2 linked regions of the Macaca mulatta genome follow. The protein of the gene in region 1 interacts with the protein of each later gene in a pairwise test. Links are inferred from orthologs where the notes say so. Each region holds a gene or a part of one and is shown on either strand. Other genes may lie near its edges.

Region 1 (5,133 bases):
CAAAAACACTTAAGGAAGTGTTTTGATAAATGCGATATATATTGAATTCCTACTTTTAACTGATAACAAATTTGAAGACTAAAACATTAATAAAAAATATTTCTGAATGTATTACAATGCATTGGTTAACCAGGCCAAACAACTGTGTAAACTTTAGTTGTCCTTGCGGCAGTTCATGGACTTTTCTGCAACAATCGATTTTCTGAATTCTCATCTCCCAGGAAAGCCTCCTGATTTAACTGCTATGTCCCAAAAAGTTTAGTAAAATCATACACTAATTAGTCCATAGTGTCATATTTCTATTTCTCGGTAGACAGTTCTTGCACTTTTTGACATTACGATTCACAGAGTTCAAAGGCTTAAAATGATAAAGAGAAATGAGATCATTTCAACACCAGAATGGTGAAAATTGTATTATAAAATTTCCCAACACTGTGAACCTCTACTAATAGTTTATTTTAAAATCTGCCAAATACTAAAGCATTGCTTCATATCTTATAAACTTAATGAACATGTGTAGACCGGTTCAAAGGCTAACTAATTGAAGATACTTGGAGATATGAGTAGCAAATAGATTTGACCCATTTTCAAATCATATGTTAGTCAAAAATCCTTGAATAAATATCTCAATGCAACAAGTTAGAAAAAAGAAGAAAAGGAAAGAGGAAGGAAAGGAGAAGAGAGTCCAGTCTAAACTCAGCCTCATGTTGTTTTAAGCACAGCTACTCGTCTTTACAAGTCAACTAGTGAGATTTGTTTTTGTTCTTCTCATTATTTACAAAACATATATTTACTGACAAATTGAAAAGGACTTTCCAAAACTACAGCAGCACTTTTCAAACATGAAAAAAAAAAATAACTATTGTGTTGTCCAAAAAACACATTAGCAGCTGGCCTTGGGTCTTAAAGGACATGAGGATAGTTGGTTACTATGTAAGACAGGTGATTTAATTACAGAGTTTTGGGTAAGAAAAGCCTTTTTCCACTTTCTAAATCTTCAAGGATGCCTTATCTCCTTGGTATCTCTAGGTTTAACAGGTATTTCTGACTGGCTTTTGGGGCGACAGTGAAGTTATTCTAAATCATCCACATCAAGTCAAGCATTTCTTTCCACAACCTATTAGGAAATATGGAATTGAATACCGAGCTTTCCATTATTCTTAAGCGATTTCGGACTGACTTTCTTCTCACCACTTGAAAACTGTCCTGGAATTTTTCACTATCTTTATATAAATAATTTAGTAGAGAAATAAAACAATCATATGCAAAAGAACGTTACGCTTTGCTTACATGTGAATTTTCCTCAAAATAATTTCTGAACAATTATGAAGTGGGGGCTGTGTTTTCATTTCTAGCTCATTGCCAAAACGCGTGGAGATGGATCCTAAATCCTTGAAGGAGAGCTCGGAGCGCTCTGGCTCCTGTTTAAGTTGGCGGGCGATTGTTAAGAAGCTTTGGAAAAAATTACCAGTCGCCGCGAACGAAATGGAATGTGAGACATGCAATCTAACGGTAGTAGTAGAAGAGAAGTAGATGATCTCCCTCTTCTTTTCCGATCGCCACTTCTGTGTCCCTGGCTTTTCCTCTCCGTCCCTCCCACAGTTTCTTTCCGTATCCTCCCCCTCCCCTCCTCCCTTCCTCGCACGCTCCCTTTCCAGTGTCTCGCGCTCTCGGAGTCTCTGCTCCGAGTTCCTGGTTGGATAATTTGGGTTAATACTAGTGAGTGAGGTTTTTGCGGCTTCAAAGGGTATTTCAAGTTTCCGGAGCTCCTCCCCTCTGCACCGTGTGACAACAACAACTCGTCCAGCCGGCAGCCTGCACTTTTCAGCTCATTTTCTCTCTGTCATTCCCCTCTCAATCTTTGATCAATGTACTTGCCAGGGAGAGCCCAAGTCCTTCAAACCTCCTCCTTTTCACCTTCATCCTTAACTTTGTGCTAGACCGGGACCCACACAACAACAGCCGACCCTCCCCCCTTCCCCCCCCAAACCAGCCCTCGATCCCAGCCCCCGGAGAGGACTCGCATTTCGACTTGCGGGACACTTTTGTGCGTTTCTCTCCAGAGCGCCTCTCGTGCTCGCCCCTCCTGCGCTCTCTCTTTATTACCTTCACCTCCTTTTCTCCCCCTTCTCTCCCTTTCTCCTTCTCGTTCTCTCCTGGAGTTGTTGTTGTTGCCCCCCTCGCTCCTTCTCCCCCCTTTTTTCCCCTTCCCCTCCCGGGGGTGTGTGGCAACTTTTCCCCTCGCTTCTCCTCCGTCTGTTTCCCCTTATATGTGACCATGGCAGTGCCGGCGGCTTTGATCCCTCCGACCCAGCTGGTCCCCCCTCAACCCCCAATCTCCACGTCTGCTTCCTCCTCTGGCACCACCACCTCCACCTCCTCGGCGACTTCGTCTCCGGCTCCTTCCATCGGACCCCCGGCGTCCTCTGGGCCAACTCTGTTCCGCCCGGAGCCCATTGCTTCGGCGGCGGCGGCGGCCACAGTCACCTCCACCGGCGGCGGCGGCGGCGGCGGCGGCAGCGGAGGCGGCGGCGGCAGCGGTGGCAACGGAGGCGGCGGTGGCGGCGGCGGCGGTGGCAGCAACTGCAACCCCAGCCTGGCGGCCGCGAGCAACGGCAGCGGCGGCGGCGGCGGCGGCGGCATCAGCGCTGGCGGCGGCGTCGCCTCCAGCACCCCCATCAACGCGAACACCGGCAGCAGCAGCAGCAGCAGTAGCAGCAGCAGCAGCAGCAGCAGTAGTAGCAGCAGCAGCAGTAGCAGCAGCAGCTGCGGCCCCCTCCCCGGGAAACCCGTGTACTCAACCCCGTCCCCAGTGGAAAACACCCCCCAGAATAATGAGTGCAAAATGGTGGATCTGAGGGGGGCCAAAGTGGCTTCCTTCACGGTGGAGGGCTGCGAGCTGATCTGCCTGCCCCAGGCTTTCGACCTGTTCCTGAAGCACTTGGTGGGGGGCTTGCACACGGTCTACACCAAGCTGAAGCGGCTGGAGATCACGCCGGTGGTGTGCAATGTGGAACAGGTTCGCATCCTGAGGGGACTGGGCGCCATCCAGCCAGGAGTGAACCGCTGCAAACTCATCTCCAGGAAGGACTTCGAGACCCTCTATAATGACTGCACCAACGCAAGGTGAGTCGCGGGGGATAGCCCCCGCCACCCGCGCCCCTTCCCACCCGCCTGCTCGCCCTGCCCTCGCTCCCTTCCCGGCGCCGCTCGCTCTGCGCGCCCGCGAGCCGCGCGCCCCGGCGAGCGCGGCCCTCTCCTCTCCTGCTCGGGGTTCGCCAGCCGCGCCCGACCCCTGAGAAGCTGGCACCTCACCCTGCCCAGACCTCGCTCTTCGGCCCGGTCCGCCCCTTGCCCAGTGGGTCCTGGGGATGGGCTGCTGTGGGACGCGGGAAAAGCCGAGCCTCGGGGCGGAGGGGACGAGCCGGAGGAGGAAGGCGTCTTTCCTGGAGCCATAGCCCCCTGCCCCGGGCGCGCGGGCGCCTGGAGACCCCTCTCAGCGCTGCCGTCCGCGTTCGTGCGCTCCCTAGGACCTGGGTTCCACCGCCCGCTTCCCAGCACCGACAGGGCTGATCTGTGGCGCCGAGCGCCGTCCCAGGGGCGGGGAGAGGTCGTGACCTGCTCCGCAGGGCTCGGGGAGCGGGGAGACGCGCTCCGGGTGAGGGGCCCGCTGGGAAAGGCGAGGGAGCGGGCCAGCACCCAAGGAGGGCACTTTGAGGTCGGGAGGGAAATGACCCGCGAGGCTGAGAGACCGGGGCCATCCCGGGGGATGAGCTCCGGGGAGCTGAGCTCCGAAGCCCGGAGGGGAAGCCCGTCGAGGGGAGGGGTCTGTGTGTTCGCGCATGTGTGCGTGTGTCCGCGTGTGAGTGAGTGCGTGTGCAAAGGAAATAAAGGGGTGCGGTGGCCCCGGGGCAGATGCGAGGGCAACCAGCAGGTTTTCTTCGGTAGGGGGAGGTGACCGAGTGCCCGAGACTCAATGGAAGCTGAACTGGAGAGATTAGGAAGGAAAGCCACGAAGCGCGCTCTCTCTCGATCTCTCTCTCTGTCTCTTTCTCTCCAAAGTGTGTTTTCTTTCTTTCTTTCTCTTTTCTTAAAGGTTAGTAGCTTAAGCAGCGAGCAGGTGCACACTTTGCACTGGAATGCTGAGCGGGCCTGATACTCTGTTCCTTGGCTTCCCCAGCCCAGCAGAGCGCGCGCACCGAGGAGGCGGCGGGACCGGTCCCCAGCCAGACCAGTTTTATGCTAATGAACGCTCAGTGGGGGAGGATCTACCGAGAGGGGGCGGGAGTGGGGCAACTTGTCAGTTTCGGGTTAGAGATGATCATTCCACCCCCTTTCACAGCTCCGCTTTGTCCCCACGGTTCGCTGCAAGGAAGTGCAGAGGCAAAAGTTCAGAGTGGGATTCCGGGAGAAAGAGAATAGGGAAAGTTGAAGACCTGAAGCGGGCACGTGGGAACTGCGCGCAAAATTTGCGCGGAAACTTCGGTGCCCTCCAAATAAGTTTGAAGATTGAGAGAAGGAGCGGAGTTGGTGTGTGCCCCCGCAGAGACAGGGAAACTTAGGTGGAAGGGAAGTGTAATAAGGAGACCAGAAGGAAATTGTGTTGAAAAAGCGCTAGCTCTTTTTCCATGGAGAAAGACTTCTCGCCTTGTGCCCGAGAAGGCTGAGAAAAGAAAAAGATTCGAATTCCAGTCCAGCAAATGTCCTATCCTGACCTAGCCAGAAATTCTTTTCCGTGTTTAGGTACCCTTCGTTCCATGGGACATGGGTGTGTTTGGGCTTTGAACCTTCGACTATTTGGGGGTAAATGCTCTGTGTGTGTGTGTGTGTGTGTGTGTGTGTGTGTATGCGCGCGCGCCCAAATGTATGGACAGGTGGCAGTAAAGATGGGGGGTAGTGGGGGTTGCGGAAGCAAGATCACTAAATGTCATTTACTCAGATAATTGGAGCTCTTGGTCGTGCAGAATATAAAATATTTGCCCCAAATCTATTTGAATCAGGTCAGAAAAATTGTTCTGGAGTTGCGAAGAAAGCTAGGTGAAATTTGAAGCTAGTTCAGATATGATAGTTATAAAATTGTCTGCCTATCCAGTAAATTGGTGAATCGCTACTGTTTTTTTTTTCTCCTTAGTA
Region 2 (4,599 bases), on another chromosome or scaffold:
ATGCTGTGTAAGAAATCCCCCGTTTGTCAATGTAGTAGTCCAAAGCCCAGTTCCTACCTAATGCTGTTCCTGGTTCAGGACCCTAGGACTCCAGCTCCTGCGCAGTATCTCTGACTTTTACTGTTCCGGGAGGGACTTTTAAACGAGTATGAAACAAACCTAAGAGTCATTATTTATTAAATGAGAGTGTTGTTTTTCTCATGTATAAATGACAATGTAGTAATTATACATCACTGATATGGTTTCTATAATAATGACTAAGGCTTGCTCAAATCAAGCTTGGAGTCGAAAGCAGGACTGCCTATGCAGTAGGAAAGCAATGTGTGGCACTGGAAGAAGTACTGAACCAGCAGCGAGGAGCCCGCTGTTCAACACAGGGTCTGGATCTGCCTCTAACTTCCTGTGACACTGGGGACAAATATTTCACTATCATGAACTTTCATTACCTTGTTAAATAAAGGCGCCAAATTGTACTGTCACTAAGCAGCACTAAGCAGCTTTGTATCTATCTTCAAATGTACATGTTTCTGTGATGTACGTTCATAAGAAGGTTTTATCACTATCTACATATATGACGATATGTACTTACACGAAACAGGAATTATTTATTCCCTAACTTCTTTATAAAGTCTGAAATCTCACACATAGAATGTATTTCTTGAACTTTCCAGAGTTCCTTAGCATAGCATCTAGGGTTAATACTATGTTTGTTAGTATTGGACTAGATCTAGGAAAAAAAAAAAAAGCTTTGGGATTACTTTAGTTTGTTTTTAAAAGAAAATGAACCTAAATCTGTACCTAAATTTAAGCATTTTAATAATACTTTATTAGTCCTAGAAGAAAACCAGAACTTAATATTATCACCTAAATTGAATCTGAATTAGTTTTATCCATTTTACTTGGCAGTGATTAAACTCTATCCTGGCAATATTGAGCCAAGGCCTTAAAAGAGCTGGTTTTCCTTCCCATGGGTTATCATGTAGCCCTGTGCTGCCAGGCAAGGAATGTGCAATAGTTTCGTTCCTTCCCTCACTTTCTTTAGTCACCTTGTTTATCTGATTTTCTTTTATTTGAGATATCAGTTGAATGCCATGTAATTTACATTTTTAAAGTTTATGCATGCTTTAGTGGTTTTTGGTACATTCAAAAAGTTTTGCAAACATCACCAGTATCTAATTCCAGAACATTTCATCCCTCCAACAAACAGTCACTCCACCCGTATATCCATCTCACCTCCTTCCCCAACCATTGATACTCACTACTCTACTCACTATCTCTGGATTTGCTTATTCTGGACATTTCATATAAATGGAATCATACAACATGTGGCCTTTTGTGTCTGGCTCCTGGCCCTTAACATAATGTGTATGAGGTTCATCCTTGTTGCCACATAAATCAGCATTTCATTCTCCTCTATAATTGAATGATATTACAATTGCATTCTGCAGAACTATCACACTATATTTATGCGTTCATCACTTGATAGATGTTTGGGTTGTTTCCACATTATGAATAATGTTACTATGAACATTTGTGCACAAGTTTTTGTGCAGACATGTTTTCATTACTCTTAGAACTAGACCTACAAGTAGAATTGTTGGATTGTGTGGCAACTGTGTGTTTCACCTTTTGAGGCACTGCCAACCTATTCTCCACAGCTTCTGCGTCATTTTACATTTCCACCAGCAATGTATGTGAGCTGCAGCTTTTCCACATCCTCACAAACACTTTACAATGTCCATTTTTAAATTATAGCCATTACAGTGGATGTGAAGTAGTATCTCATGGTCATTTGTTTCTTTGATTCTTAAGCTGGTAGTTCACTTACTTAAAACTGAAAGTACTCTAAGAAATCACATTTCAGTATTAATATAAACATAGTATTAATTTATTGCTACTCTTATTATTTTAGTATCTACAATCACCTTTCTACTCCAATTTTCTCTGGGGAGTGTTTTCTTGGACTTTTTTTGGGGGGAGTGGGGATTGGATAAATTTCGTTCTGTCACCCAAGCTGGAGTGTGGAGTGTAATCTCTGTTCACTGCAACATCCACCTCCCCTGTTCAAGTCATCCTCCCACCTCAGCATCCTGAGTAGCTGGAAATATAGGCATCCGCCATCACACCCGGCTAATTTTTGCATTTTTAGTAGAGATGGGGTTTCACCATGTTGGCCAGGCTAGTCTCGAACTCCTGACCTCAAATGATCTGCCTACCTCAGCCTCCCAAAGTGCTGGCATTACAGAGGTAAGCTACTGCACCCCAGCCTACTCCAGTTTTCTTAGTCTCATTTTTCTTAATCTGTAATGTTAGAACTATTCAAAAATAAGCTGGGTGCAGTGTACACACCTGTAGTTCCTGCTACTTGGGAGGCTGATGTGGGAGGATCTTCTGGGCCCAGGAGTTTGAGGCCAGCCTAGGCAACATAGCAAGACCCCATCTCTTACAAAAAGAAAAAGAAAAAAAAAAGAAGAGAGAGAGCACTCTCTACAAATAAAGAGATTAGCATGGGAGTATCACCTATAAGGACATGGTTTCAACCAACCCTATTCCTCTATTCATTAATAACTTAATTTCACATTTGCTTGCATTAAATCATGGGGGTCTCACATTGAAATTCTTCCAGTACATGGAGAGGAAGATGATGACTATGGTGAATATGTCTGACATGTAGGACTCTTGTTTAATTCAGCTGAAGAAGATGCAATAGCATTTGTGTTTCTTCTGCTTATCTCAGAAGGGGAGAAATTTCTTCCTTCCACAAAATAGATTTTGTTCATGTGACATGTTAGGATATGATTTTATTGTATTGATTTTTAAATCTCATCATAAGTCACTAAACAAGACTCAGGCAGAAAAGGTGAGCCTGAGAGGCGGTGATTATGAAGCAATAAATGTGAGCTCTGGCATTGACTCAGTAGTTTTGTAAATGTATATTTGAATTAATCATATAACCTTTTGGTTTTCTCACTTACCAAATGTTGGAGTTGAAGTACAGGATCTTACGGTTTCTTCTGAGACTAAAACTCTCATTCTGTGTTTCACTGAGATCAATAGTAATAGGAATTACTGTTAGTAATTTTCTTCAATATAATAGTAATTTTTTTCTATTACTTATTCCTGGGCTTTTTATCTGAGATTTTGATTACTAAGGAAAAAAATGTTTTAAGGAAATTAAAGAGGAAGTTACTGACATTAGGAAAAGTGGTGATTTTACTGACCAAGCTGTGGCTATGTAATATGTTTTTGTATATACAGAATAGTCTCTTCAAAAGCACCTTGTGTGCCTGTGTTTGCTGTGGTTATATTTGATTTTGATTTCCAGGATAAATTTTAGTTCCTTATTTACATGTTAAGGGCGAGTAAATGAGGAATGGCCAATGACTTTAGTTTACAAAACATATTGCTAGGATCAGAGCGCAGACTTGGCCACAGTCCTGAATGATTTTCACCTAGCTTCAAGCCTGAGCAAATTGTTATCACTGGGGTAAAGGTTGGCTAGAAAGGAAATCATGTTTTTTTATTTTGTATGATGAATCTTTATAACCAAAGGATAATAGAAACTATGTGTCATTGCCTTTCATTTGTTCTTAACAGAGGACATGGATTTCAAGCTTATTGGATTTCAGCGTTTGCTGATTCACCTTTAAATCATTCCTCTTTTTTGTGTCTTTTTTTTTTTTCCTACAGGATGTTTTCACTCCAGAATGCAAATTTAAGGAATCTGTGTTTGAAAACTACTATGTGATCTATTCTTCCACACTGTACCGCCAGCAAGAATCAGGCCGAGCTTGGTTTCTGGGACTCAATAAAGAAGGTCAAATTATGAAGGGGAACAGAGTGAAGAAAACCAAGCCCTCATCACATTTTGTACCGAAACCTATTGAAGGTATGAAACCAACTGACTGTCTTTGTTGGACCGTTATTTGTGTGTTGACATCAATTCTGCTCCTTGCCCTTGTGCTCCAGAGAGTGTGCCTGGAATGTAACAGATCAGAAGAAGGATTCAAAACAAATATTCAGAAAACACAATAGTATCTTATTTATTTATTTATTTATTTATTTATTTATTTATTTATTTATTTATTGAGACGGAGTCTTGCTCTGTCACCCAGGCTGTAATGCAATGGTGCAATCTCGGCTCACTGCAACCTCCACCGGGATTCAAGCAATTCTCCTGCCTCAGCCTCCGTAGTAACTGGGAATTTCTTCCTATTAAAAAAAAAAAAAAAGGAAAATTCTGTTACAAAGACTTGGCACTTGAAAAAATGCCTGAGTATAGAAGCTGGAAACATTTTGAAAGTAGAAAAGGAGTGGTAGTTACTATCTAGTATGTAATTTCCTCCTTTTCTAAACCTAATAATTTAATTTCTCAAGATCCACCCTTGAAAAACAAATGATAGTTTTATATTTACGGTATTACATTGCATCCTTCCCAGGTGAGCTTATCACCTTTCCGCTCATAATCATTTAATACTCTTACTCTGTTCATTTATTTCAAACTGACCATTAGAATAAACCTTTTTTTTCTTTCCCCTGAGGAAACCAATTTTTATCCTCATTTTATAGATGAAGAAATGTAATTTAAAGTAATTAAGT

Evidence for each region. The genes of interacting proteins can lie anywhere in the genome.
Region 2: the proteins of DACH1 (region 1) and FGF12 interact in binary tests that used the Homo sapiens proteins (3 or more experiments, as listed by UniProt). The two-hybrid records come from large-scale screens. The link is inferred for Macaca mulatta from reciprocal best matches to the Homo sapiens genes DACH1 and FGF12.

The regions. Positions count from the first base shown.
Region 1 is NC_133422.1:66,617,959-66,623,091, reverse strand, and holds the start of DACH1 (dachshund homolog 1), read left to right. Parts: upstream 1-1,845; 5' UTR 1,846-2,278; coding exon 2,279-3,126; intron 3,127-5,133. UniProt on the Homo sapiens protein: Transcription factor that is involved in regulation of organogenesis. Seems to be a regulator of SIX1, SIX6 and probably SIX5.
Region 2 is NC_133407.1:6,577,374-6,581,972, forward strand, and holds part of FGF12 (fibroblast growth factor 12), read left to right. Parts: intron 1-3,690; coding exon 3,691-3,889; intron 3,890-4,599. UniProt on the Homo sapiens protein: Involved in nervous system development and function. Involved in the positive regulation of voltage-gated sodium channel activity. Promotes neuronal excitability by elevating the voltage dependence of neuronal sodium channel SCN8A fast inactivation.